Notamacropus eugenii: one gene and its partners. The protein of the gene in region 3 purifies or fractionates together with the protein of the main gene of each other region. This does not show direct contact. Links are inferred from orthologs where the notes say so. Each region holds a gene or a part of one and is shown on either strand. Other genes may lie near its edges. The genes, in order: DNAJB6, HSPBP1, STUB1 and HIF1A.

Region 1 (7,109 bases), on a different chromosome or scaffold from region 3:
ACGAGCCATGTCCTGCCTACTTCTTAAACAGGACTATTCAATGAATGGGCGTTACCTCACTCTAAGTGAGTACCTGCATAGACCTCGGCCTAAAGGGGCCAAGGTCTTCTAGTGTATCCTGGGTCATCTCCAGTTCATCCAGAGGAATATCAGGTCACTGGATTCAGATGGCTCTGGAAAAGTGAGGCTGGTGACCTGCATAGCCCTCCCTCACTCAAAATAAAGTCAAGTGCAAGTCATGTCATCATTTCTCTGATGTCATGGTCTTCAGTAAGGAAAGACAGACACAACAACAACCCAGGGCTACACCAGAGAGCAAAATTTGTACCTCCTGGAAAGGTTTCTTTCTGGGCCTGAATAGGTGAAGGACTGCCACTCAAAAGAAGTTTAGAAAGGCACAGAGAATTCACAGGTTACTTTTTTGCAGGTACATCAATTCTTTAAATCAGAAATTCTTAACTTGGTTTGGGAAAGTGTCAAACTATTGGGGGGGATTTGCTTGATGATTTTTGTTTTCTGTTTTGCATTTTGGCAACTGTTATTTTGATATAATATATGCATTTAAAAACATTCTAGTAAGAGGTCCTCCACAGTTTCACCAGATAGCCAGAAAGATCCACGACACAAGAGATTAAGAATCCCTACGTTAAACTGTCCATTAAAGCAATGAAAAGATTGAATTAGTGTATGTGTAAAGTATATCTAAACCCATGAAACTGAGATTTTTGAGGCATTTAAAAAGAATGAGATGTTTGATGTTTCATAAAATATATTCAGTAAAAAGTTTTAGAGCCAAGACCTAGTTTAGAGCTAAGACCTCAATTCTTTACAGATAAAGAAACAGAAGCATATAAGTTATTTATCAAGGTCACAAGTGGTTGAATAGGACTTGATACATCCCAACCATCAGTCTAATGCGTTCTATATTACACTATTTCCTGTTGCTTAAAAAGGTACATATATGTAACACTCCCTAGAGCCCACTTTTCCTAAATCATTTGGGGGGGGAGGGAGACATATTATGGGAGTCAGTATCAAAAAGTGAACAGAAAATTGGTTTTGTAAGTAGGAAGATCTGGATGTAAACCCTAACTGGCATACTTATGTGACTCCAGACAAATTATTTACCCTCACGTCCCAAGCAACTCTTTGAGAACCTAAATTACAGAGGTAGCAACTTCTACTATCAAATAGTGCTGATAAGCACTGGCAGAATTTCCTCCTTGAACGAATTTCCTAAACTCAATCAAACATCTTTGACATACTAACGTGTTACTTTTCCAGGTTTTAATCATCTCAGTAGCTACTACTGGAATGGCATCCATCTTTCTCCTTGGATCATTCTGACCTCCAGAGCAAAAAAACAGCTTGCAAGCCCACTTCTTTCAGGTGTAAAACTATGATGATAACCACTGAGAGGAGGTGAGGGTAGGCCAATTCAAAATCTCGATTAAACACTTAATTACTTACAAAGTCACTTTTTTGTTCATTCTTGTCACCCTCACACTCCTTTTTTGCTCTTATGTAAGCAAAATTCTCCCTTTAGTACCTACACTTTACAGTGAGCAGGCAGTCAAGCTGAATTTTCTCTCCTAACTTCAAATCTGAGCAAGTGTCTAAAGCCACATCAGAATTAAGGGAAATATATTACATTTTACTTATTTCCCAAATTTTGTTTGCTGTTTCTATCCAATGTTAATACCTTTTGGAGATTCATTTATTTGACTTGCTGATTCTATAAAAGGTAAACAACTAGAAACCGTACTTTCATAAGTACAGTCGGAGTGAACAAATTTGATAGTGGTTTAAGATTTCTCTTCTTTTATACTTTCTTAAAAACTGATTACCACTACTTTACCAGGAATTATACAACCTGAACTGCACTGCCAAATCGGTTGTTTTTCTAAGGTAAAACCGAACTACAAGTTACTTTTATACCACTGAGAAGGAGATGTTTACTTTTCAGTTTTATAATTCGATGGATCTGAAGTCAGGCCTATCTGCCTGAGTTTCCTCATCAAACAGCACCTATCTCCCAAGGTTGTGTCAAGGATAAAATGAGCTAATACTAATAAAGGGCTAGTAAACTGTGAAGTACCAAACAAATTCTACTAGCGGCTATTATCTCCCCTGCCTCTCTTACCTTATTTCCTCCAACTCCTGCCTTTATTCTAATAAAAAGTTTACCCAAAAAAAAGGTTTGAAAGAGGGGCAGCGGTCCCACCTGCGCCCCCAAAGTCTGCGGGGCCTCTCCGCTCGCCTCCCCGCCACCCTCGCAGACTCCAGCCCGACCTTCCGCAGCGAACGCTCAGATTCCGTCTCCGCAGCGTCGGACCCCCTCACCGCCCACAACAGGCTCCTCCACCTCCGGCGCCCTCTCTCTATCTCCAGGGCAGGGACGCGGTGTTTGCCTTTCTTGGTAAGCGCACCCCTGGCACCGGGCCTAGTACACAGTAGGCCGTCCATAAATGCTGAGTGAACGAGAAAAATGCCCGAGGGCACCCAAACGTCGTGCCCATCTCGGTCAGGCGCTCACATTCTCATCTAACCAACTGCATTTTGGGGGAGAAGGGGCCTAATTTTGGTCACGCGATGACAGGAAGAGAGGTACTGCACTAGCTAGGGACACTGAAGAAATCCCTCCGCCTTCCCCCGCAGACCAACGAGAGCCCCCCCAAGGACCCCCGACCATCCGGGGGCTTTCAGCCTCTTCCCCATCCAGTCCGAGGGCGGGTGGGGGCCGAGCTGAGAATCCTCGGCGAGGCCCCGAGCGCCCGGACGCGTCCTCCACCCCCTCCCCCAACGGCCCGGGCCGCAGAGCCGGATGCCCGGCGGCGGCGGGCAAGGACACCCGAGCCGGCGGTCGGGGCTGGGAGCAGACACTCCGAGTCCCCGCCCCGCGCAGGCAGGCAGGCCGCAAGGCCCCGGGAGCCGGCGCGCTGGGCGGGTCAGCAACACCGCCGTTGCTAAGGCGCCGGGGACAAGTCCGGCCAGCCCCGCCGCGGCTCAGCCCAGGACCTCTCCTCCCTGAGCCCCGGGCCCTGACAGGGGTCTTCCTTACCCGAAGAGGGTTGACAGCTGGCGGCGGGGAGGAGGGGCTGGGCGGCGAAGCCCGCGGTCTCCTCTCGGCTCCGGCGCTGCTGGTGGTGCTGGTGGTGCTGGTGGTGGCGGCGGCGACTCCTCGCGCTTTCCTTTCTCTCCGTTTCTCCAACAACAAACAGGAAGTGCGTCAGACGTCGGAGCTACGCGGCGACGCTCCACTTCCCTTCCACCATTAAACTCAGTGAGCTGGAGGCGGCGACCGCGGCGGTGGGGGCGGCTGCCGCGTCTGCCCGAGCCCTGCGCCTCCTACGCCCCGCCCCTACGCCACCTTCCCGAAAATTCTCCGCTCGCTCGGCAGACGCTCAGGCCGCCTGCGGCCGTTGGCGCCATCTGTCGGCCGCCGAGTGAACGACGGTGGGGGAAACTCCGCCGCCCCCGCCTTGGGCCCACCCGCCTAGTGGCGGCCCTCCCCTCCCCCCCTTGAAATCCACGTACGCTCCGGCGCCCTCTGGGACGTCAAAGGGCTGAGGCCGCCGCCCCTCCCCCCAGCGACCGTTGGGGCTGATGAGGCACCTAGAGGGGTCCGGCCTTCGGGGAAAGGTATCACTGCCCTCGTGGAGCTTACGATCCAGGGACCAGGAGAGGACTCTTCCTCAACCCGCCTGTCTCCCTCCCCATGCGCCTCCCCGCTTCAGATCCGGCGGATCCGGGCCCCCCGACATCTGAGCAAGGCCGGCCATGGTAGGGGACCCCCGGACTCCTTCCTCGCCGCGTGGCCCCCCCTGGGTCCTCCGGGACTGGGGCAAGCTGCTTCCGTGGTGCTTGCCTCAGTTTCCTCATCTGTAAAACCCTCCCAGGGCGGTCGTGAGGATGAAATGAGATGATGACGTAGGGCAGCACGGTGCTTGGCACGTGGAAGCGCCCGCGAAGGCCTAGCTCTCCTTAATATCCTTCTTTTCGGGTCTGCCCAGCCCGCCCTAGTCTCCAACAGAAAATCACACTGGGCCCTACGACAGCCTCACGCACAGGATGACCTTGCGGTCTTGTTACCGAGCTGGCCATTCTTATTGTTCAGGAGCAAGTTCTTTTCCCCTTAACCTTTTTTTCCCACTCCATCCCACCGAGTATTTTTTTTAAACTGGAGAGCAGAGCCTCCGGAGCCGGGGCCTGTTTCAGCATTTTAAATTGATCCCCTTTTTATCGGGATGGGCCGACCTGTTCATCTTCTGGGACTTGGGATTTGTCACGCTTCAGCTGACGAAGGTCCTCCCCGTTACCTCTGGAGTTAGGCCTTTCACCATCTAAGCTGGCACATTCATATGTACCCCAGTCCCTTCAGCCATACCCAGTAGGAAGACACCTCCTTGTCTCACAATTTTGAACTAAAATGAAGCGAATTACTATAAATATTTTTGCACACACTGATCCTTTTTTCTCTGATTTCTTAGAGGGTAGTGATGTAGCTAGGGCAAAGGATATAGAGAGTTTGGTAACTTTCTGAACAACAGAATTATTTCTAGAATGGCTGGGCCAATTGGCAGGTTCACCATCAGTGAGTGTATTTTCCCAGAGGTCTTCTGATATTTGTCATTTTCTGATTTTGTCATCCTTGCCATTGTGGAAAGTATGAGTGGAATCTCAGAGTAGCTTTCATTTGTATTCTCTATTAGTGATTTAGAGCATTTTTTCATGTAATTGTCGATAGCTTGGATGTCTTCCTTTAAAAACTGCCTGTTCGTATGCTTTGCCCATTTATTTTCTGAGGAATGCCTTAGATTGTTTCTCTTCTTTTAAAAAAGACTGATTGTCTCTATGTTGTCCATGCTAAAAGTACAGAGACTCTTCCTGGGCTGATTCCACTGCTCATAGACGCAGAAGCTTTGACCTCCATTTTGAACTTGGACTTGTTCACTCCTCCTTGGGCAACTTGGTAGCTCCCTGCTCCTGAAGATGAACCATATTCATGTCAAACCTACTTCTGATGCTGTGTTCACTTAGCTCACTCTCACTCAGAACCCCCCAAATCGAGATCTTGTACCAGATATTAAGCTATTTACTCTTACCTCTCAGCAACCAATAAGGGGACTGCCTTACTATCTACAAGCACTGAACACTTCATCCCTGCGTCAAATGTATATGTTTAACCCAATGGAGAATCTCTGCTCATGCTCTGTACAAGTATCTGTACACATGTATACATATCTTTATACACAGTTCAGTGGTATTAATAAATAAGACCTTGTTAAGACCTTTGTGTAGTAGAAATTTATTCCCTCTCCCCTACGGAATCTGGGTTAGCATTTCACATGCAGAATCCCAAGGCCATGGCCTTGCTACTTGGAAGAAGAACCCAAGGCCATTTTTCTGGTATTTGCCAGATAATTTAAGGAAAAATTCCTTGGAAGGTTCATACCCACATCACTTGGCATGCGTCTTATAAAAAAATGTGCATTATCCTCTTTTGCTAAAACCATACAAAGTCTCCCCCACTTTTCTCAATAATAACTTCATAGATAGGTTTCCATCTGGGCTTAGATGACCTTATAGCACAGAAAAGACCCTCCACATGCCCTTTATTAGCAAACCTTGAGTTTATCAGGGAAACATTCCAGTTGCATACTCTCATCCCCCTCAGTCATTTTCTGTGCTCAAAGATCCCAAGGCATAGCTTTGTATATGAAGATAACAAGTAACCTCTTGCTACCAACCAATAACCAACCTCAAAACTCCCCTATAGGAGGAACATCTATATAACACATCAGAAATGTGTGGAAGTCTAGGAAGACATCTTCAGAACAGCTACACCACCCCAATTCAGATATGATTCAGAGGACCACAGCATCCCAATTCCATCTCCAGTTCTCCCAAGGCTTCTGGGGACTATACAAATATCCTTTCATAATTTTTAAACACATCTTTTCCTTTGGACCTTTTCCTTTCCTCTACTAGTATAGATGAGTTGCCATATGAGTTGATGAAAAATATAGGGTCTAAACAAAGAGCGCTCAAACACAGTGAGTGGCCCTAATTTACTAAGGCCATATAGAACTGGGTTTATGACATCTAACTTGCAACTACAATTGAAAGACAACTTAATTAGTAATATCAAGTTTTTAGATTGAACTGTAGAACTCCATACAGTAAAATTCCATAGGAATTCCTGGAAAGACAGTATGATGATGACAGCAATGATGGCCTGTTTGATTTCCCTCAGATCTTATGTTCAATACCAAAGGACATTAAAATACAGTTTAAAAAAATAAAAATGAACCACTAACTTAGAAAGAGTGGCTTCCCTTGCTGGAGGACACAGAAGTGCCATAGCTTCAATTACTGTTCCAAGAAAAGAATTGCTGTCAATACCTTGAGTCAATTCAGCACAAATCTGACAATGTTATTCCTCAGGTCTACTAAAGCCCTTCCAAATCTAGCTCCAGTCTACCTGTCTGGGCTGGTTGCCCATACTTTTCATTCCAGCTAAACTGGCCTATTTATTGTTGTCTACACAGGCCTTTCCCTTTCCAACTCCAAGCCTTTGCACAAACTGCCCTTCAGGCCTGGAATGCACTACTCAACACCAGTTCTTCAGAATTTCTACTTTCCTTCAAGGTTCAGCCCAAGGCCTTTCCAGAGTTCCCTCCCCCACCATTGCTCATGTTTATTTTGTAAATGTTACTTCCAGGTACCATAGTGAGGAGTAAAATTGGCAGATTAGTACACCTTTCTCCTCCTCCTCCTTCCTTTCTTAGGGGAAAGTTACATAAGAGAAACCTCTCAGATCCTAGGTATCTCCTCCCACTGTGACAGCTAGAAAAAAACAGGACTTTCCCTTCTTTGCATCTTCCTCAGGTAAAAGGCAGAAACTTTTTGCCTGAAGCAAAAAGGAACTCAACCTTTTTTGTGTCTAGGGCCTCTGGCACTAAGGTGAAGCCCATGAATCTCCTCTTTACTCCTCAGAATGTTTTTTGGTCTAAATTCACAATCAAAGGGAATGCTAAATTTCAGTTGGGGATAATGAAAATATAGATGTATTTTTTTTTCCTATCCAAGTTCACAGACTCCCCTAA
Region 2 (7,545 bases), on a different chromosome or scaffold from region 3:
GAGGTCACAAGTCAGAAGAGTAGGAGGAGGTGACAGCCTTTTGGGGGAGTTTAGCCACAAAAGGCAGGAGACATGAGGTCATGGACAAGAAGTCCAAAGTTACAGATAACAACATCCCATGGAAAGGAGGCAGAGGGGCTTGGAGTCCTCTTCACAGAAGGCACCATGAGGGCACCAGGAGAATTAGGACTTTTCGGTCCTGCCTACACTCCCAAAGCCTTGGCCCCACCACATCCCCCACCCCAGGGTCTTAGGGGCCTCACACTCACAAGAGATGGCATAAAGGGCCTTCACTCGCACTGTGTCACAGGGGTCCCGGTCGAGCAGTCGAAGGAGCTTTCTTAGGGCACCGAGACCCAGCACCTGCTCCTGGATGGCTGCCACATTCTGGCTGCATGTACCAATAAGGTGGGCCGCCCGCCACCGCAAGCCCTCTGCCCCTGCCTCCAGATAGCGGCCCACTAGGAGGTGCATCCCGGACAGTTGGCAGAAATCTAGGCAGTCAAGAGAAAAGGAGAAAGTGGAGGGAGGTAAATACAAAGTCTGCTAAGGGAATGGTCAAAGTTTCTGTCCAGTCAGGGCTATGATCATGGGATTTCTAAATCCTTTCTTAGTTTTCTAGGCCTGGAATATGCTCCCTCCCCTTTACCCTTTTAAATTACAACTTCCAAGAGGGATCTTTACATGTTCAATAATGCAAAAGGTCTTGACAGAAATGATCTCATTTGATCCACTCTATCCCACCCTTCTATTCTTTAAAAATGAACTCTAAATGAGCCCTCCCTGCTCTCCCAGGTGGGTGACAAGCTGCTCCTCTGACTGGCCAGAGGCCACTGAGGCAGTTCTTGTGGATCACTGTAGACTCTAGTTTTTTCTTTCCCCTCATCATTGCTTAGATCTTGGTACTTAGATCTCATTCTTGCTTCCTAGGTACTTCTCCCATGAAGTGAACACTGTTTGTCTCACAGAGCCCAAGTCTTCTTAATAGAACTTAGCCTGGGAAAGACCTGGAGATCAGCCAGCTCGACTCACTCACAGAAAGGAGCTGGCTGACCCCAGGACAGATGCTGTCACCCAGCTGGAGAGCAGCAGGATGAGACCATCCCTTATTTGACAATATGGGTGTGGGGAGTAACAGGCCACAGAATGGCAGCGACTTCTGGGTCCTCAGGCATCACAGAGGGGTGAAACAAGGGCCAGAAAAAAGAAAAGATCTGCCCAGAGTCAGGGTAAAGCCCAATCCAGAACTCTCCCATTAACTTCTACTCACCACCTTAGATCAGTGAGTATTGACTACCAGGCACAGAAGGACACTTGCCACAGCCCTCACCTGCTCATGTTAGGGAAACTAACTCTCTGAGTGGAGAGAAACTAAAACCCAGACAAGAGACTTTGCAGCAAGGTCGCCAGGTTCACAAAACAAAATCTGAACCCAGGAACTCTGGCTGAGGCTCTTTCCACCTCAGTGTGCAGACAGAACTATGGCCCCCCTGAGAAAGTCAGTGTAAAGAGATCTAGGATCTGGTGAAAACTCTGATTCCACCTGCTATATGATGCTGAGACATACAGGTTCCTCTAATCTTTCTCTTCGGCTAGGTAGGGATGGCGTGGGAGAGGAACAAGGTAAGAAGGAAAGAGGCAAAGGGATTACCTGCAGCATTGTCCATATTCTCACACAGGTCAGCCAAGAGCTCCAGAGCTCCCTCCCGCTCCTGCTGGTCAGCTGCCAGCTCAGCCTCCCCAGCAGTGGGGGGTGTAGGTAGGCCCAGAGCATGAAGACAGCTTTTCATTTGTTCGACCTCCTCCCGTGGGCCTCGGAACGCTGCGGACATGGCCTCCTGCAGCCACTGACGCCGCTGGCGTGGTGGACAGGAGGAGGCAGGGGGGCTTGGTTATATTTGCCCTCCAGCCCCTGCCCACCCAAGGAAGCAAAAGTCCCCTCCCCATATCACCTCACAGAACCTGACATCCAGGTCTCACCTCTTCCGTCATGGGCTCGGGTGGGAGTTCAGGGTCACCAGGGCAAGCTGTCACTGCCATGTGCAACAGGCCTTGAAGGCTGTGGGGATGCGAGGGGTTCCCCATGGAAGCAGACGTACTAGCCTCCTCCGGGGCCGGAGGCAGGGCCAGGGGGAGGCGGTTCCCTCCAGAACCTGAGTCTGCCATCAAGGGTGATGGGGTAAGGGTGTGACTGGGGAGATGTCCTGAAGATAGCTGATCCGTGTTTTGGAAAATCTGGAAAAAATGGGGTAACAGGGAAACTGAGTGTGGAAGGGAGTGAGGGTGGCACAGGGCTGGGTTCCATGACTCCCCTGCTTTCCCTAATTCTGGGGCCTGCACCAGCCCCTACCTGTCTTTAAAAAAAGCAACACTTTCTCACTTTCATAGCAACCCACCCTCCCTCATCTGAGGGCAATGGACCCTTCCCCATCTCCCTGGTAACACCTCCCTTCTCAGGCTCCATGGCAACCTAACATTTCTTCTTCTTCTAAAGACCAACCTGCGTGCCTCCATCTCCACAGCAACCCATCCCTCTCCTGTATCCATGGCAACATATGCCCTCTCCTTCTAAAGACCAGCCCTTCCTTCCCTTCCCCCACTCCACGGCAATACATCCCTCATCCCTTTCCCCGTCTCCATGGCAACCGGCTTTCGGCATCCATTCCCTAACTTCTCGGTCAAAGCCTCCCATCTCCATGGCAACAGACCCCCTCCTCTTATCCTCGGCAGGCGGCTCGGACGCCTCCCTGTCTCCTTAGCAACAAGCGCCGCCTTCCATAGCAACAGGGCCTCTGCCCCCTCGCTCCAAAACCCTCGCCCTCCGGAAGCCCCGCAGCTCTCCACAACAGGCCTTGTCCCCTCGGCACTCCCCAGGGTCCGTGCCCGCGCCCTCCGGGCCTCACCTCCGCGGGCCTCAAGACCCACGCCGCCGCCCGCACCTGCCCGCAATGGGCGCCGCCATCTTTGCCGGAAATGCGTAAGCCTCACCTTTCACCTCAGCGCCCTGACTTCCGGCGGGGACATGACGGCGGCGAGGGGCGGGGCCGGGCGGAGGGGAGATTTGTTGGCTATTCTCACCTCTCCTGGGTTTCCCCGCACATGCCAGCCTCGCCCCTCCATGGGATCCAGGGCCCCCCCACCCCTTCTCCAAGCCTAAGTCTTGTCACCATCTGACCTATCTCTTCCCCCGCCCCTTCCGGACCGCCCTGCCCTCAGGGCCCGCCCTCTGCCTGACTCGGTCCAATCCCTCACCCTTTGGCCCGCCGCCTCACTGCGCAGTCTCACCGCTGTCGGCGTCGCTCCCGCTAGTGTTTCTGGGACTTGTAGTTCTCGCAGCTGCTTCCCTAGGCGTGGAGCGGGAAGAGGAGGGAAGGTGTTGCCGCCTCCGCCGCACAGACACAGCCACACGCACACACGCACACGAGCCCTTCTTCCACATAATCAGCTCAGGGGTGTACACCCTCCGGGGTCCCTTTGCCCGACGATGATCCTCTAGCCACTCTCCACCATCCAACACCCATTCAGCAAGCACGTGCTCTGCCCCTACTACGTGCCGGGCGCTGGATGTGGCCGCAGAAATGGAGGAAGGAGCCCTGCCCTGGGCTGGGCTGGGTGGAAGGGGGTCCGGGGAACCTCTCCCCGAGTCCATCAGGATAGCCAGGGTGGACCCAGGATGGCGGGAGGCAGGTGGTCCAGGGGAGGACCCCCCCTTCCCTGGTCCCCAAGCGTGCCCTCGAGGCTCTGAGTCTGGCTACTAAGTGTCAGGCACTGGGGGTGCCAAGAGACAGTCCCTGCCCTCAAGGGGCTGAAGTTGGGGGAACAGCAGGCAAACATATGCAGAATACATGGGGAATCGGAGAGACAAGGGGGAAGCCCTGGAATCAGAGGGATGTGGGAGCAACGGGGGACACAGCCGGAGAGAATGCCCAGAGCTCAGACATGGGGCACCACCCCGGGGGCTACTATCACTGGATGAAGAGCCTGCAGAGGGAGGAGGGGGCTGGGTTAGGAGGGCTTTGAAGGTCAAATAAAGGATTTTGTGCTTGATCCTGGAAGTGATAGGGAGCCTCTGGAGTACAGTAAGTAGGGAGGGGCAAGATCAGAGCTGCATTTTAGGAAAACCTCCGGTACGTCTTGGACCTAGATTTCTCCAATTCCTAGGTAAGCACCTCAAGATACTATGAGCATACAGGGAAAAGGACAGCCTTTATTTCACCCCACAGTTAGTCAACAAACATTTATTAGACTAGTGTCAGGCATTATGCTAAGTTCTGGAGATTCAAAAAGGGTCAAAAGACAGTCCCTTCCCATAAGAGGAGTTCACAATCTAATGGAGCAAATGAACAGGTACAAAGAAACTAGAAAGGATTAGTAGGAGATAATTAAGAGAGGGAAGGCAACAGAATTAAGGAGTTAGGAAAGGCTTTCTGTAGAAGATGGAGCCCATAAACAAAGAAGATTCATATCCTCCAACTGGAACATCACCTTCCCATCTCCAGGGGTCCTGATCAATATCTGGCCACAGGACCCAGATGACCTCAGAGGACAAAGTGAGGCTGATGACTTTGCACAGCCCTGCCTCACTTAAATCCAATTCACTTACATGTCATGGCATCACCTCCTGATGTCACGGTCCTCTTGGAGCACAAAGGACAAATGACAACAATGTTCCCACCCCATACACACAGTGGAATTGATAAGTTATTATTTTGACATTCTGATGTCGTTTTCCCATCTTTTTAATAGCACCACCCTGTGGTACAACATTTCTTGATAGACTGAGTGACTGGTTTAGACTTTTCCAGAAGATAACCACAATTTGGGAGATGATGAGCAAGCAGCCTCCTTGCTATCAGACTGACACTGACAGAATCAAATAAACACAAGTCAATAGTTATGAACCACCTACTATATGCCAGATAAGGATGTACCTGCTCTTTAGGAAAATCACTTTGGTGGTTGAATGGAGGATGGACTGGAGACTGGAGGCAGATAGACACACACACACTCCAGCAGTTAGTACAATAGTTCTGGTGTGAGGGCATGAGGGTCTGCACCAGGGTGGGAGCAGTGTCAGAGGAGAGAAGGGGCACTGCAGGAGAGATATTAGGGGGTAGACTATATGCGATGACCTAGAAAATAAAAGACTGAGAGGTAGTCAGATGAATAGGAGAACAAGGAGGGAGGGGGATCACAGAAGACCCAGAGAGGAAAGATTATCCAGGAGAAGTAGGAGGAGAAGGAGGAAGTCAGCAGTCTCAAATACTGCAGAGAGACAAGGACATACCTGGTCAGATATGGCCCGGTAAGAACGTGTTTGGGATGCTGTATACATCTCTGAGCTTCACATGTCAAGGACACCAATAAGATGGAGAACATTGACAGGAAAGCAATGAGAACGGTGAAGGGCTTTCTGTTGGAGATTTCTGGGAATATTCAGCCTAGAAAAAGAAGACTTTTGAGGGAACATGATGGTGACCTTCAAGTATGTGAAGTGTCATCAAAGAGAGGAGGGTTTGGTCCCAAAGGGCAGGACCTAGAGTGCCCAGTGGATGGGAGTTGCCAGGAGGCAGATGTGGTATTAATTGTAGGAAGCCAGTAAGAGCCAGGGTCTCCCCCCTCACTAGAGCTATGCAAGAAGGTGCTGATTGACCTTAAACTTGGAGGTCAGCAGAGAGTCAGGGCAGGATGGGTAGATCTGAGATCATCAGCATAAAGGTGGTCATTCAATCCATGGGAACATAAAGGTGCTCATTCAATCCATGAAGTGAAGCAGGTCCAGTCCCAAACCTTGAGGTTGATTAGAGGCATGACCTAGAGAAGGACCCATACAAAGAGATAGAGAAGGAGTGGTCAGAGAGGAAGGAGAGAGTGACCCACAGCACCTAAGGCTAGAGAGAGGACCAGGAGGAGGAGAGAGAAAAGGCCATTGGGTCTGGCCACTGGAAGATCATGCCATGTCAGTGGAATGATGAGGTCAGAGGTCAGTTTGTAAGGGGTTAAGAAGGAAGTAAGAGGAGAGCAAGTTCAGATATGTGGTATGGTATGCTCAGCTACAAAGAGCAGGAGCATCATAGGACCATGGTTAGCAGAGATGAAAGGGTCAAGCAAGGGAGGTGGGATGAATGAGCCAGTAGAAAGGGAGAGACTGAGGAAAAAGGGGCAAGTGAGGATGACCTGTTGGAGGGTAGGAGATGGATGGGATCCCCTGAGCAGGTAGATGGACTGGCCTCAGTCAGAAGTCAGGCCACCTCCTCTGTCAGGGAGAAGGGAGGAGAGAGGGGCATAAAGCATCAGAGTGATAAGGAACAAAAAGGAGAAGAAGCTCACAGCGAATGGGCTCAATTTTTTCTGTAAAAAAGTTTTCTGTCCTTTATTCTATGTGTGTGTGTGTGTGTGTGTGAGTGTGTGTATGTGTGTGTCTGTCATCTCTGTCTGTCTGATTCTATCTCTGTCTGTATCTCTGTCTCTCTGTGTGTCTCTATCTGTCTTTCTGTCTCTGTGTCTCTCTGTGTCTATCTTTCTGTCTCTCTCTGTGTCTGTCTCTGTCTCTCTGTGTCTGTCTCTGTGTCTGTCTTTCTGTCTCCGTGTCTCTCTGTCTCTGTCTCTCTGTCTCTCTCTGTGTCGTCTGTCTATCTGTCTCTATGTGTCTCTGTCTCTTTCTGCCTCTGTCTTTGTATGTGCATGTGTATGTGTCTCTCTCAAATCTGGCTCTTCTCTCCACTCACACCACAAGTACTCTCATTCAGTCCCACAGCCTGTGTCATCTTTACAGTAACTTCTCAATGGGTCTCCTTCCTTTTTTTGTCCATCTGCCACAGGGCTGCCAAAGTGATATTCCTGAAGCACTTGTTTGCCCATATTCATCCCCTACTCAAGAATCTATAATAGCTCCCTATCGCCTGTTAGGCAACCAGATAGCACAATGGATAGAGCTCTGGACCTAAAGTCAGCAAGATCCGAATTCAAATCAGACCTCACACTGGTTGTATGACCTTAGCCAAGTCACTTAACTCTGTTTGTCTCAGTAATCACATCTATAAAACAGGCATGACAATAGTAGCACCTACCTCCCAGGGATGTTGTGAAGGTCAAATGAGATAATATCTGCAAAGCACTTAGCACAGTGCCTGGCACATAGTAGTCACTGAAGAAATACTTTCCTTTCCTCCAGGATAAAATACAAGCTCTTCTGTCTGGCATGATAAGCCCTTTAGCAATCTAGCTCTAGGCCGCTTTTCCAGACTGACTATAAATTACTCTTCATAAAGAGCTATTATGTGGCCCAGCTATATGCCCATAAATTTGACAATCTAAATAAGATGGATGAATATTTTAAAAAATATAAATTACCTAGATTAACAGAAGAGGAAGTTGAATACTTAAATAACCCCATCTCAGAAAAAGAAATTGAACAAACCATCAATGAGCTCCCCAGGAAAAAAATCTCCAGTGCTGGATGGATTTACAAGTGAATTCTATCAAATGTTTAAAGGACAATTAATTCCAATACTATAGAGACTATTTGGGAAAACTGGTGAAGAA
Region 3 (7,373 bases):
TCTGACCAGGGAAGGCAAGTGAGATGTCCTCTGAGGGTACTGGAATGTCTGCTTTGAACCAACGATTGGACCTTAGTGGTGTCACCCCCAGCCACTCACAGTGGGGACCATGAGGAACGAGGTGGACTAAAGTATGTGTCAGTCTCCACCCACCAGGGAAGCCCAGAAACAAGAGCTGGGCACTGTAACTACTGATCGATTATTGCTACAAACAGGCAAGAGCCCAAGCTGTCACTGCTGGAACAAAGTCACAAGAACTAGACTGAGAAAAAGGAGTCTGACCGGTGTGACTGTGTGTGAGCCTTGTGATACTGGAGGTGGTGAGGGGAAGCCTAGTGTCTTCAGAGGCCGTGTCCTATCACTGTTCTCTGCTCCACCATCCTTCCACGGTCAGCTCAGAAACATCTTCCCTTGATATATGGAAGAGCACAACGGGATGGAACCCCTAAAGTCCCATAGCCCTGCCTTGTTCTGTCCTGCCCAGTTGTCTGCAGGACAAATACAATGGAAAGGAGACACTGTCCTAGGTGCAGGGGATGTAAAACTCAGTGCCTGCCTAGCTCATTCCCCCTCTGAGACCCTTTCTTCCATCTCAGTCTTTGATATCAAGCAAGAGGAAAACCTTTGGCTTGACTTGTTTTACAGGAAAGGAGATTTGGTTCCTAGAGCTCACCACAGGAAAAAAAAGGCTATCCCTGAGCTGTCACCTCAGGGGCTCCATCCTCCAAACCATCTACAGAGTCACCTGAGCAGGTATCCGGAGAAAACCATCCTTAGTCCTGGTTAGGTTTTTTTTAGATCTGGGTGATATCTGGCAGTCTGTTCTCAAGTGAGGTCTCTACCCTTCTCAGCTTTTCAGGGACCTAGGTTGGTGAATGGGTCCCTTCCTAAACTCAAGTTCACCTATGAGTCAACTGAGCCATAAGCCATAGGCATGAAGCCACCTCCACAGTCCTGAAAAGCACGCTCAGGAAGCCAGGCAGGTGACAAATACAAGGTGCTACATTAAGATAAATAAATAGAGATAAACAGAAAGCCTCATCAGCTAAGCAGCTAAATAGCCTGAGTCACCAAATGTTCTACCTCACACATTCTTCCTCTTGGAATTTAGAATCAGGAAGGACTTTAAGAGGTAATTTTACATTCCTTCATTTACACTCCATACACTGAGTCCCACAACAGAGAAGGGATTTTTAGATGAAGAAACTGTGTCCCAGAGAAGTGACATGACTTGCTCAAGATCATACAAATAGTAAGAAACAAAGCTGACTTATGAACTCAGGACTTTCTCCTCCTGATTCCACACTCCCTCCAACATGCCCTGATGCCCCAACTAAGCCATCCAGCTATCAGACATTTAGGAGTCATTCCTTTGCTGAAGGAGCTTCAGAGACCAGCCTTTCATTGGTCCCGAGACCACTAGGCTACTCTTCCTTTAACCCCAAACACACAGAACTCTGGGATTCTTTTTTTCTCCCTAGACTATCCTCTCTAGATTCCTCCTCCCATTTTGTCTTTTCAGATCCTCCTTTCCCCCCCTTCTTTAACACCCTCATTCCTTATTTTCTCCTTCCCTCCTCGGATACTATCCACTGTTCCGGGCACGGAAACCAGAAAGCCTCTAACTCTACAAGGGAAAGGGAAGCAGCCAGCCGGTCCCTAGAAACTGTTAAGACATAGCCCCTTTCTCCAACCCTTTATCATTATGTGACCCAACATGGCACATTCTCAAAACAAACTGGTTCAGAATCCCCAAGGAAAGGCACTTTGCTCCGATATTTATTCTTCCATAGCCCCTAGAACAAAGCTCTGCAATTCAACAAATGATTTTTTAGTTTTTCCAGTAAATAAGATACTGTTGTAAAAAGTAATTGCACCAGTACAAGTACCTATCACTTTAAAATGTTCCTAGAAGGAAAGACCAATAAAAATGGGTTCCTCTGCCTAATCCAGAACGTTACATTTGTAATTACATTTAAGGAAAGGTTCGTGTTAACTCAGAAAAAAAATTCACTCGCGCCACTCTCATCTCAGCACCTTCGGGTGGCACTCCTTGGCATTCTGGAACAAGACTTCCAAGCTCTGCATTCAGCAAAGACAGTCTATCTCAAGCCCCAGAAATGAATTACTGGCTTTGTAAGGCTCGGCCCTGACCCCTGCCCAGCTGCAGACCACAGAGAAGCGGGGCTTAGGTTCCCTCTGATGAATGACCGCACACACGACACTCCCCCGCGCCCGGCCGGCCTGAGCTCGGCTCTGCAAGGACAGAAGCGCCTTTCCCTCTGCCGCGGCTCCCCGCCCCGATCCTGGGCCGCCGCGGCTCCCAGCCCCGATCCTGGGCCCCGAGACCCTCACCTGGGACAAAGGCATCCCGGGCCATTTCTTTGTGAGAGGCTTCGGAACTCGGCGGGGACCCTGGGAGCGCAGGCCACCCCCTCCCCCCGAGCTCGCGCTCCCCTTCTGGCCCGCGCCCCTTCCCCGGCCCCCGGTCCTCCGCACTCACGATGGCTTTGCTGTAACAGGCCGCGGCCTCGGGGTACTTGCGGCCCACAAAGAGCCGGTTCCCCTGCTCCTTCAGCTCCTGGGCGCTGGGGCTCTTCTCGGGGCTGCCCGCGCCGCCGCCCCCTGAGCCCAGGCGGGCGCCGCCGCCGCCGCCGCCCCCGCCCTCCTTCTCTTCTTTCCCCTTCATGGCTCCGGCCCGGCCCCGGCCTCGGCCTCTACCCCGGCCCGGCCCCGTGATCCGGTCACGGCCCCCGGCCCCGGGGGTGCGCAATACTCAGGTATGACCCCGCCCTGGCCCGGGCGCTGCCCACAGAGAGCGCCCGCGGCTCGGCTCGGACCCCCGAGCTCCGGTCCCAAAAAGCCCCGAATTCTTCCCTGCGGAGACCCAGCGCCGTCACCCAACCGGAAGTTCCGGCCGGGAAAGCAAGGAGGCCGGGAGAGCAGGGGGGTGGGGCCGGAAGAGAAGGGATGAGCCTGTGGAGAAGGACGCCGGAAAAGCGAGGAGATGGGGCGGGGGAAAGGCCGAGCCCACGAGGGGGCGGGACCAGCGGGAGACGGCGCACCGAAAGAAAGAGGTGGGGCTAGGCCCGAAGCCAGCTGGGTCCATCAGCACGTAAGAGCAACACTGGAGGGCTTGGGCCTCGCACCTCGGCCGAGCTCGGCAGGAAAGGCGGGGACCCGAGACGAGGCGGACGCACGGCTTTTATGCTTTCGGGGTGGAGGGCGGGGCCGAGGCGGAGCGCGCTTGGGAAAGAGGCGGGGCTGGGAGCGAGAGCCCGCCTCTAAAGGAGTGGGATTGGTCGGGGGCAAATAGGAGGGTGGAGAGAAGGCTCGCCGGCGCAGAGCGTGTCTGCGCGTGCGCGGGCGGAGGCGGCGGGCTTGCGTGGGGAAGGGAGGGCCGGTTTCCCTTCTCTCCTATCTCTTCCCACCCGAGTTAGGGTCCTGGAAGGCTGGTCGCGGTTCGGAGAGGCCCCCAGTCCTCAGGAGGTGCCCGGCTTCCTGGGGCTGGGGCCATGGGCCCGAGCGGGGGCCTGTATGGCTGTGACGACCCCCGGTGCTGGGCGGCAGTGCTGGGCTGCTACAAGGAGGTGGTCAGAGCCAAAGCGGGCAAGGCCCGCAAGCTTGCGGCTTTGGACGCGTGGTGAGCCCGCCTCCTCCAGAGCCCGCACCTCGGCCCCACTTCCGCAGGGGTCTGGAGCGGGGTGGGCAGAGGGAGGGGAGCAGCGCCCCGCGGCGGGCCCTAGCAGGGGGAGACTGCCCTGTGCCCAGCACCGCGCCCGCACACAGGAGGCGCGCGATAGACGAGACTGACCCGCACGGGGTGGGGGAGCCGGGGCCACACGTGGAAGGACTCATGGGTGGGTGTTGGGGTGCTCGTGTGACGGACAGCCGCACGTAGTGGGCCTCCCAGTCGGGACCGCTCAAGGCCAGGGAGAGTGGGGGTAAGAGCTGCCTTCACAAGCCTTCCCCCCGGGTTCTTGGTGGATGGCCAGACAGGGTCCGAGGCCCGGCTGCCTCTCTTCTCTTCTCCCTGAGAACCTGGACCCTAGGAAAATCTATTTCCCTTGTTCAAAGAGGCCCTGGTATCTGAGGGGCATCGGGCTAGTCCCTAAAGGGTCCAGGACACAGGAACCCCATCCGTGTGCGGGACTGTCTGGCACCTTGCCCTAAGGCAGCTTAGTTCCCCCCCCCCCCTTCCAGATCCCAGGGTAGACTTTGGGGAGTGCTGTCCCCATGGAACAGTGACCTGCCCTGACCCTTCCCTGTCACCACTACATACATGTAGTATGTGGATGCCCGTTTCAGGTATCAGGAGGAGCTGCCAGTTTCCATAAGGGAGAGAAAGGAGAAATACCTAACTCGAGATGAATTGGTGAAGCTGATGGAATGGAAGCTGGCGGTAAGCTCCCCATCTGAATAAGGTGGTGTCTGTAGGGATGGACATAGATCCAGGCCCAACAGGGAAGGCACAAAAGAAATTCTCAGGCCCATTCGGAGGGGTGACCTCACATAGCCCTTCCTTCAGACTCTAAACCTGTCCCTGTCCTCATCTCCCAAAACTGCTCCTTCCCTCTCCCCAAATTAAGTGATCTTGTATTTATTTTATGTCTATCTCTTCTGTTCTCTCTCTCTCCATCTCCTTACGTGTATGTATACATGAGTATGTGTGTGTATATACACACATACACACGTATGTTTTCTCCCTCAAGGAAATGTAAGCTCCTTGAAGGCGGTAACTTTCCGTTGTCTTTGTACCCACAGTGCCTCAAAAATAGCAGGCACTTAATAAATGCCCATTGATTGATTGATATCCAGTGAGTGATGGATAGGTAGGTGACTGTATCCTTAACTCTCCTTCCTAGGTTCTAGAATGTGCGAAATGGAATACCAGTGTTAGAGGGATCTTGGAGATTATGGTCCAACCCCTTCACTTCACAGAGGCAGAAACAAGCCCAGCAAAGGGGAAGTGACTTATCCAAACTCACATACTGAGTTAGTGCCAGATTTATAACTAGGTTTCAAGTCTTCTAATTCCCACCCTAATGAAGTCAAACCCCAGCCAAAAGTTCTGTTTAGTTTTTGGACTTAAAGTTTATAAAACCTTCTCTGTTCACATCCCCATCTTTGTAAGACATAGGATTTCTTCTTCAAGTTGGGGTAAAGGCTGCAATTGACAGGAATTGTATTGATAGGAATAGTATTTCCATTGAAAGAAGACTCAGGGTTCTAAGGAGAAGAGATTGGAGTGTGTTAATTGGCCTAGAACCTGCAGTCAGAAGATCTGGTCATAAATCTCAGTTCTGCCACTTATTAGCTGTGTGACAACCTCCCAGGACATCCGGATTGTGAGGCTGAACAGAGGGTCACTAAGAATTCAATTGTATATTCTCACCCTGTTCTTACCCTCCTGCCCTGTCCTTCCCCATACATGCTTAGAGGGGCAAGTTCAGACCACGACTGCAGCATTTGGTGGCCACTAACCCGGAAGAGATGGTGAAGCGGTGCACCACAGCAGCCTTCTCTCTATTGCCCAATGTGGAAGCTGCCATCACAGAGCTGAGCCAGCTGAAGGCCGTGGGACCAGCTACTGCCTCTGGTGAGGGAAGAGGAGGAGGAGAGGAGCCAAGGGTGGATCCCAGCAGACCGGTGACACTTGGTAACCTCTGGACCAAGACTGAGCCCAGGCTCTGCTGGTCCCTCAGGGGATGTTCTGAGGTGGAGAGGGAAACCTGGGTGTGTTATCTCCAACATCCTAAGGTCTGACTCTTCAACTCAGTGGGTGGAAAAGTATGTGTGACCTGAAATGACTGATGCTGATAGAGTGCAAGACACTCATTCCTTCCTTGGCTCTTCTGGAGGTTTGGGAGTATCCCCTCCCTCACCTGCTGCCTTGAAACACTAGTACTAGGCCATTTTCATCAGTCCAGTTCAACATTTTTCTAACCAATGGCCAAATCTGACCTCGTGCTAAGAGAGGACAAATCAGCCCCAGCAGAAGTGGTAACTTAGGGGTTCAGGGGAACTTGCTTAAGACGAGGTGACATTCAGGCCTTAGGTTCCATGGAATGTATGGATGGTCCTGGAGGATCCCCTGCCTTCCCATAACCCAGCTATACTTCTTTCAGCAATTTTGGCTGCAGGTGCCCCAGAGACAATAGCATTCATGGCAGATGAGGCAGTGGCTGCAGTCCCTGACCTTCCTGTGCTCCAGTATACTCTCAAACATTATATTTTGTATCTGGACAAGATCTGGGCCTGTGCTAAGAGACTGAACCAAGGTAAGGGTTAACTGCTGGAGGGATGTGTGTATCACAGTAGTCTCAGTCTCTGACAGACTGCCTAGATATCTCTGATGCCAGAAGGGTTTGTGGAATGATTAGGTGTAAATGTAGTGGGTAAAGGAGCTTCAGGCCTCTGGGCGGGGTAGGCCTCTAGCAGGAAGGCTCAGTTGCTTTGGGTAGGTCCAGAGTTGCATGTTCATTTTCCTTCCTCCTTGGGCTTTTCTCATAGTTGATCCTTTATCAGAATGGACTCCTCACCAGATAGAAATGTGCCTCTGGACCTGGACTGTGGCCCAAAAACTGTGTCCCACAGTCCTGCCCTCCTTTTCTTGGATGGCCCCCAAAGCCAGGGAAGATGCTGAAGATGTCAGACCTTCCAAGAAACGAAAAGCTAGTATTCACTGATCTGTATACACTATCTGTATACACTCCACCCAAGAGAAATGCATCAAGTCACAGTAACCTGCAGCCAGGCTCCTATCTACTGATATCCATGGAGGCCTCAGGGCCGAGGGTAGCCACTGTCATCCATTAAAATTGCCTTCCATCCCAACCTCATCTGGACCTCACTTCCTTAGATACCCTCCCAGGCTAGCACTGAGCTGGGAGTTAGGAAGATGGAGTGGATAGCTCCAATCCCATCACTAAGTTACCCTTGGGGAAGTCACTTAAACTGTCTTTGCAGTTCTAGTCACTTCTCCCTTTGCGTTCAATTCCTCCAAGGCTCAGGTATGTCCAGTCCTGTCTTCTCTTGTCCTATATGTGGTGTAGGGGGATGCCCCACCCCCCTTAGAGAGTTTAATAGTGTTAACTAAATAGAGCAGTGATTCTCACAGAACTAGGTGTGTGTGGAAATCAGAAGGAACTTAGTTTTCCAGAGTAGAAACACCTCCCACTGGAGCTTTCCTGAATTCAGAAACTAGAGAAGGCTGTAGGTGCTTAAAAGCTGGTAGGGCCCAGCTTCAGCCTCATGGGATTTCAGGGAATGAATGGGGTGGGGGTGGGGGGCCCAGTGGCTCAGCAGCTCTCAGCTAACTGCTCTGGCAGGAGGTGTAAACGGCTTCCTAATTGCCTTCACACATGAGCCTA
Region 4 (7,849 bases), about 250 Mb from region 3:
AAGACTAGTAAAAATTAGCTATTAACCATTACTAAAGGAACTGTCATGTGTAAGGCAATATAAAGACAAGAGTACTAAAAAATGGGAAAAGGTAATTTTTACTGATGAAACTCAAATTTTCATTCAAGTCTATACCAAGACAAATCCAAATGTACCTGGAAGATCTGGGCATCTTCATCATACTGTAAAACATGCACTCAAAAAATGTTTGAGGTTTTTTACTTACAAAGAGAAGATAATGATGAGCCTCTTGATATATGTTGTTAAACTGAATTATTCTAGGATTACAGAAATTCTCAAATGGAGATGAACAAACACTACAACACAATAGTGCACCATGTCACAAAAGATTAAGAAATCTGTCCAAGAGATGGAAATATGTATGTGTCAGTGGCCCTGAAACTTGTCTAACTTAAATTTCAATGAAACTCTATAGGCTATCTGTTTATCAAAGTTATGCTTAATATATCTAGTATGTTAAGTGCACTTCCATGATGAAAATTTAAAGAATATGTGTCAAAATCTTATGAACTCAATTCCAGGTCCTGTAAAACAAGTAAATGACTAAAGAAAAATAATATGTTGCACTAATTTTTTTAAAGATGTAAAAAATTGGGAGGTTTATTGTTACTGAATGAGTCAACCAATTTAATTTGATTCAACTGCTAAGCACACCATTTTGTGTGTGGAGAGAAATGACTATATTTAGCAAAGATTGCTTTATATTTCGTCTATTCCATAACTTTGGTGAAATTAAAATATTTTAAAAGGTTAAGTGACTTGCCCAAGGCTGGGATTTGAATCCAGATTCTATGATATTTTTATTTATTCTGGTACAAATGTCAGGTATTTTGCTATTAACTAGTGAATTTTCCTCCCAAACTACTTTGTATGCATTTTGTATATATTATACAAATACTTTTAAAAATGTGTTTGTTGTCTTCTTTATAAAAAGGTAAGCTCTTCAAGGGCAGGGGCTATTTCACTTTTGTCTTTGTATCCTCAGCACTTAGCATAATAGCTGGAACATGGTGAGGCTTAATAAATGCATTGCTGATGGACCAAAAAGCCAACTATTGGAAGAAAAAGACCCAGTCTGAGAGAAACAAACTAAACCCTAGTGTATACCATACTACTGTTAAAAAACTAACAATTCAAGAATGCATTATTAGTAGAAAAATAGAAAAAGCATCAATTCTGTTCCATTACATACTTGGTAAGTTCTTTTTAGGGTTCTGAGTCTTGTTTTGAATTTCATATTTTTCAGGTGATGATGCTGTATCAAATTCAGAGAATAAAAGCATTCATAAGGACCTTTAAGGAAGTTAAAAAAGTTGAAACTATAGCAAACTCTTAGGGGTGACAGCAAACTGAAGTATATAAAACTATACTAAAACTTTCCATTTCTAATGAAGGACAAGAAGAAACAGGTTTAAAATGCAGCAATAAAGCATTTTATTTCAAGAAACATTAAGAATCTTGACTTATGAGAAGCAACAAAGGTGTGCCATGGATCCCTTTAGCAGACGAACTTTATGAACCCTTTCTCAGAATATTTTTAAATTCATGAAATAAAATGCATACTTTACAGAGGAAAACAATGGTTACTGAAAATAAATGATTTCCTCCTATGAAAGTTTACAGACCCACTGAAATGTATGCACAGAACCAAGGGAGTCCAGATTAAGAAAACTTGTTCTAGAACATTATGGACTTCCTATCCACAAAGATATTTATGACACTGGACATGTACTTTAGAAAGTCTGGATGTGGTAATCTGCCTAAGAGAGAGGACTAAACAAGTTGACTTCTTAAGATCTTCTCCAAGTCTATTAGACCAAGCTATGCTAAGAATGTTAAAAAAGAGTAGCACAAAACCCAGACTGAGGGAGTAGCAATAACGTCCCATGCATAGTTATATTTTATATGACTGGATTCTTCATTTAACTTGCAATACAAATACAGAATGGTTCTTGCTCAAGTACCTCAATATGCAAAAATTACTAGCTTTCAAAAAGAAACTTCTACATTCAACAATATTTTTTTTAGTCCCTAATATATGGAAGTCACTTTTCTAGGGATGGAGGACACAAAGGCAAAAAAAAGTCATTAACAGTCATAAGAATCCCAGTTCAAATGAGTGGACCCATATACCATTCATGATGTCATAATATTAATACTGGTTGTTGGAACAAAAGTGTAATGGAGTATACTATTACTTGCAAAGGGGAAGTGTGTAACTTTGCTTAATGCACCTTCACGTACAAAATTAATGTAAATTACAATCAGAATATCAAGTTATTCTCTAAGCTGAGATGTACAATCCAATTCGGGCAAAAGCTTTATAATTATTTCTATGAAATTAATAGCAATTCATTCCTGCTAACTTCTATAACAGCCTCTGTGTTAATTTCTCATAGGGTCATAGACCTAGATTAGAGCTGGACAGGAACGTTAGAAGCTACCTAGTCCAGTCCCCTCATTTTACAGAGAAGGAAACTAACTTTTTAATTAACTTTTTTACACTGTAAAAATGTTAAATAATTTTATCTACACCTTATTTACCTTCCTCAAAAGTTTCTACTTCAAATGGGCCAAGATAACATTTCCAAAAAACATGATAATATGAAACAAACATATCGTTTTCAGATAGAGACTGGAAGGGCTAATCATTAAATAAAGACCAGTTTACCAAAACGGAACACCAACATAATTTCAATGTTTTACAAAGTTTCCTTCTAGAATCCACACACGACACAAGACAAAATTTCTTCAACTAGGAAATTACATTTTGGAGTTAACGTACCTGGGTTCAAAATCATTCCAAGGCCTTAAATATGTGTATTTTAAAACTCTTTGACTCTTCTTAAAGTTCATAATGTTTCCTACCTACACCTTTAAAGAAGTTCCATGAAAACAGCTACTTCCTTCTGACATTTTCTTAAAGATTTTAACACAACGAGAGCCGGGCCAGAAAATGGGCAAAGCCAACAATTCTCAGACCTTGCCAGCTTCTGCTGTATTTGCGTCGCGCTTTGGTCACTTCGGACGTTTACCTATCCACTCAATCTCCCTTAACGTACTTCAGGAAGTCAAATCTATCTGCTACACCTAGACTCTCCCTTGGCACTGGCTACCAATACAAAAGGACAATTTTGGGTGTTCTCCGTAAATGCCGCTAGCGTCTCACTCTTCCCTTGGCACGTCGCGCTTCATAAGTGCCAGCCGAGCACCCCCAATCTGACAAAACACAAAGCTGAGAAGAGAATTGATCGCTTGGGGAGGGGGCCTCCAGATTGAACAACAACACGATCGCAATTCGCTGCCTGACTCACGGCCCGGCAGGACACAATCACAGAACACGGACACCACATTACCACGGGGTGCAGAACCTGAGGCCCGGGAGGGAATTACAGGGCTCAGCCGGGTCAAACTGCAGCTCCCCTCCCCCGGAGGGGTTTTCAATAGAATCGAGGGAGAGTAAACGGAGGAAGGAGGGAGGGAGGGAGCCTCGTCCGGGGGCAGAGCGTGCTGACCCGGAGGGAGCCAAAGCAGCTTGATTTTCCAAGGCTGGATTTCCAGGCTGGGGTCGCAAGGGGAGGGGGCGATCGGGAGGAGGGAAGTGCGCGCGCGCCCGCGCGGTGGCTGCCGGGGGAGGGGACCAGGGGCGAAGTCGTCCCGGACTCCCACTTTCAATGGCTCTCCAACCCCCCACACCAAGATGGCGACGTGGACAGTAAGGGGGGGAGGCCGAGTGAGGAAGGGGGGGTAGGGAGAAATGAATAGAAGCGGCCCCCTCCCCCCTGCACTCCTCCATCTACATCTCTCCTTCCCCGCCTCCGCCCCCCCCCCACCCGGCGGCGCGTGGTGGGCTTTAGGGGCGCCAGGCGGCGAGATCCCCCTTTACTTACTTTTTCTTGTCGTTCGCACCCTCGGCGCCCTCCATGGCTAAGCGCCCCCGCCACCAGGCGCTTCCTCGGCCCGGTCCGCTCCGGTTTAAGCTCCGGCTTCTCACACACGAGGCACAGGGGGGAGAGAACGAAGGGGGATGGAGAGGGTAGAGAGGCGATCCCGAGGCGGCGGTTAAAAAGGGGAAGGACACACGCGGTCCCCGGCCCCACCACCACCACCTCCCTCCAGGAAAAAGGAACCCAGAACGTTCCGGAGGACGGGAGAGTCCGGACAATCCTAGGGGTTCGAGTCTAGCTCTCTCTGTCTCCGGTTTCTGTCAGCGCGGCCTGGCCCGGCGCGCAGCAGCGCCGATTCTCGGCTTCCCTCCTCTTTCCACAGAGGCAGCTCTGAGGGCTCGGGAGGCGGAGGCTGAGGGAGGACCGGAGGCTGAGGGGGGGGGGAGAGTGGGCAGGGAGCAAAGCCGCGAGCGCGCGCGCGCGCCAGTAAGGAGGAGTGGGTGGGGGGAAGAGTAAAAAGAAGGAAGGAAAAAGGGGGCGGGGGGAATCCCGAGGAACGCGCAGGCGCATACCCGCCTCACCTGAGGGGGAGGCCGGTTCCCCAAGCACCAATGGGAAGCTCCCGAGCCGGCCTATCCCCACCCCAGCCCTCGCCGTCCTAGGCCAATCGGCTGGTGGTCAGCTGGAGGCACAGCTGAGATGTCCTGCTTGGCTTGTGATGCAGCTGGGGGACTGGTGGGAAGAGGAGGGAGAAAAAGACCTGGGGTGGCTGCGGGACCCAGCCTCGCCGGCCGTTGTCTTTTCTTTTTCCTAGCTGCTAGGGGCGGGATTTCGCTAGCCCGGGCTGCTGAAAAGGATCTCAGGCGTCGGGTACTAGGCCGACGTTGCATTTTCAGGGGCAACATTCCTCCATCCTGTATCGTGTGGCTTCTTGTCCCTTTCTCCACGCACCCTTCCTGAAAAGCAGCCTTGTAATGTCCCACGACTGAGGGCTATTTACCCTGTTGTTTTTTAATGCATTATTACGGTTTCCTTCAGCTATAGGCTTAGTCCCTTTTGCTAATCCACAAAATGCTAGTACTAGTACCCTATACTTGGCATGGAATACGGTGGAATTGTCTCCTTAACCCCAAATGTTAGGATCTAGGTTTTCGTTACAATATAAAGGCAAAAACAAACAAACAAAAACTTTAGGCAAAATCGCAAAAGAAAACAGTAGAAAGTTGCACTAAGAATGGACAAGATATTCTTACTTTTTATGTATGTAAAAACTGCTTTATGTAAGTTTTCATTCTACTTTAACACAGGGAAAATGATAAGGAACTTGAATGTTGCAAGAAGGAAGAATTAACTATGGTTGTTTGGTACCGTAAAAATATTTATTTTTTGGTTTGTTTCATGCCTCCATTAAGGGAGAATCTTAGTTGAGTTATGAGATTGGGCAAGATTCCCCCACCCTCTTTCCCTCTGGTTTCAGGTTTAATTGTTTACAGTTCGATTCACATAGAAGCCGGAAAGCTATAAAGTCTTACTCTAATCGTTCAACCCAAAAGCATTCTTAAGCACTTTTTATGTGCCCTCCCATGGAACCGGCATAGTTCCACTAAACCAAAAATCAACATAACATTGCCTTAGTCACTAATTCTCCTTTGCTAATGTATCATGGATGCTACTTAGTATATTAATTATGGTGCTTTAATGGTTAAAAAAAAAGGTAGAAAACATACCTCATCAATGTGATGGAAAGAAAATTGGACTGGAAGAACTGTGTCCTACTCCTACATTAGTAGCCACTTGCCTCTGTTTCAGCTTCAGTTTCCTTATCGGCCAACATGTTGGAATACAGAATCCTGTAAGGGCCTATCCAGTTCTGACATTTTGTGATCTCTTTTTACTTTGAAATCATGTTTCAGTCCTATTCTTTTTCATCTGTCACAGGTACCCTTTTCCCTCCTTAAATCAATAAACATGTTCTGAATGTGCATCCTTAATTTATGTGATGTTTTTGTCACCCTTCAGTGTATTATTTCAACAATGGGGGTGGGATATGCAAATATGGAAGTTACAATGTCTCACCCTCAAGGATACATAAAAATAAGAGTCTAAATGAAAAAAACATGTAACTGTGATCAGTTAACCAATATATACGTATACATATATGTATGTATATATGGGATATGTCTACTTTAATAATTTAATTAGAGTAATGAGAGGTTGAAAATTAATAAAGACTGGATTTTTTTTTTTACAAAGCTACTATCTCTTATTTTTGTACAATCATATAGCTATAAGGAGGTGTCTAAAAACTAGATAGTGTACATCTTGCAAAATGGCAAGAGGACAATACTGGTAATTTTACACACTGATATACATTCCTCTTAGTTTATTTAAATCAGTCATTTGTTCCTTAGCTAATGATAACTGGGGGCTCTAATAAAATTAGCCAATTCAGTAACCTAGAGTGATTACAATGTGGTTGCTTTTGGATACTTATTGTTCATCCTCTGTAGCCAGTGACTGACTATACATACATTTACGTGTGATCAAACCATTTCAAAATAAAACCATTGTTATAATAGCAAATTGACGTCATTCTTAAGAACCATCAACAGTGGCTTTTTATTTTTTACCTAAAACTAAATCACAAACCTTCTAGCAATTCAATCAACAGGAGGTAAAACTTTGAAAGTCCTAAAAGTGCCTCAAAATTCAGTTTTTCATTGGAAGAGATATCTAAAAAGTAATTTAAAAGCTACCAAGAAGACACACTCCCTGCGATGAATTATAGAATTATTTTTCCTCAATCACATATAACTCTATTAAACTGGATCACTACTTCAGAAGCATAGGTCTCAGCTAACCACTTTTCCTAGCTTTTTTAAGTATCCAAGTTTCACTCAACTCACATTAGCAATAGTTCCTAAGTAAACTTTGGGATTACTTATAAATGACTATTTAGCCCATAACTTTTATAGTAATAAAGGTTGGGTGGTGACTCAGAAGTAAACAAGGTAAAACCTGAAGTCTATATTGTTACCAGAAGATAAGAAGCATCTAACTCCTTTAAAAAAAAAAAAAAGAACCTTGTGAAATTCATCTTATTACAAATTGTTACAATATTTAAGAAGCTACCATGACCAATAAGCAATAACTGGCATAATATTGCTTCCAGGTTTTGTTTTTCTCAACAACAAAAAATGACTATATAATAATGCATAGAATTGAAGTGTGAAATTTGAAGCAAAGTATGAAAATAGAAAGGATCTGTATGGGAAATAAATATATTAGTCAGACTGTGGAATATGAGTGGACTTGATATAGCAGCACTTTTCTGAATTCTAAATGATGTTCATTAGAGAAATAGCTCATACTTCTTCAATGACAAATTGTCACCAATTCATACAAAACCAAAGGTTTAATTTTGTACCATGGTTTTTTCTTCCTTAGTGTAGCTCAGATTTCAATTTAATTAAATAATTCAATCCAAATTCAACAAAACATTTAATGAATACTTACTGTATGTAAGTTACTGAAGTAATGATCTTTAATGAAATTTCCCCTCAAATACCTTCCAGTCGGAAAAACTGAAAGGGAGGTATTTTGAGGCTTTGTCAAAACCTAAATTATTTGGAACATTTTCAAAACCCCAAACTCTATGAGTTTTTCCATTTCTAGGAAGGAGGCAAGAAAGCATGGGAAATAAGAGAAAAAAACCTCCACAATATTTAACACTGCTGCTTATTTCCCATCATGATCTAACTATAATAAGTGATATATTTATCATTACTAAATATTAATCATTACATATTATTAGAATGGTCACATTTTATAAAATTAATTTTAAGATGAGCAAATCTCTAAGTTTAGAACTCAAAATGAAAGCAGCCTGACATATCAGCATGGCATGTTGTTATAAGTGCCATTCAACTATAAATTTCTGC

What was found.
Region 1: the proteins of STUB1 (region 3) and DNAJB6 purify together in Homo sapiens (affinity purification with mass spectrometry; 4 studies listed by BioGRID and IntAct, with this or other methods). This does not show direct contact. The link is inferred for Notamacropus eugenii from reciprocal best matches to the Homo sapiens genes STUB1 and DNAJB6.
Region 2: the proteins of STUB1 (region 3) and HSPBP1 purify together in Homo sapiens (affinity purification with western blotting; 4 studies listed by BioGRID and IntAct, with this or other methods). This does not show direct contact. The link is inferred for Notamacropus eugenii from reciprocal best matches to the Homo sapiens genes STUB1 and HSPBP1.
Region 4: the proteins of STUB1 (region 3) and HIF1A purify together in Homo sapiens (affinity purification with western blotting; 3 studies listed by BioGRID, with this or other methods). This does not show direct contact. The link is inferred for Notamacropus eugenii from reciprocal best matches to the Homo sapiens genes STUB1 and HIF1A.

The regions. Positions count from the first base shown.
Region 1 is NC_092874.1:87,373,104-87,380,212, forward strand, and holds the start of DNAJB6 (dnaJ homolog subfamily B member 6), read right to left. Parts: upstream 3,192-7,109; 5' UTR 3,062-3,191; intron 1-3,061. UniProt on the Homo sapiens protein: Has a stimulatory effect on the ATPase activity of HSP70 in a dose-dependent and time-dependent manner and hence acts as a co-chaperone of HSP70. Plays an indispensable role in the organization of KRT8/KRT18 filaments.
Region 2 is NC_092876.1:17,904,178-17,911,722, forward strand, and holds the start of HSPBP1 (hsp70-binding protein 1), read right to left. Parts: upstream 3,263-7,545; 5' UTR 3,121-3,262; coding exon 3,079-3,120; exon of another isoform or gene 2,904-3,078; intron 2,236-2,903; coding exon 1,981-2,235; intron 1,857-1,980; coding exon 1,652-1,856; intron 495-1,651; coding exon 270-494; intron 1-269. UniProt on the Homo sapiens protein: Inhibits HSPA1A chaperone activity by changing the conformation of the ATP-binding domain of HSPA1A and interfering with ATP binding. Interferes with ubiquitination mediated by STUB1 and inhibits chaperone-assisted degradation of immature CFTR.
Region 3 is NC_092872.1:53,702,437-53,709,809, forward strand, and holds the start of STUB1 (E3 ubiquitin-protein ligase CHIP), read right to left. Parts: upstream 3,183-7,373; 5' UTR 2,690-3,182; coding exon 2,504-2,689; intron 1-2,503. Other genes in the region: uncharacterized protein, read left to right, coding at 3,516-3,643, 4,309-4,402, 5,440-5,659, 6,129-6,281, 6,514-6,689. UniProt on the Homo sapiens protein: E3 ubiquitin-protein ligase which targets misfolded chaperone substrates towards proteasomal degradation.
Region 4 is NC_092872.1:305,215,879-305,223,727, reverse strand, and holds the start of HIF1A (hypoxia-inducible factor 1-alpha), read right to left. Parts: upstream 3,051-7,849; 5' UTR 2,878-3,050; coding exon 2,807-2,877; intron 1-2,806.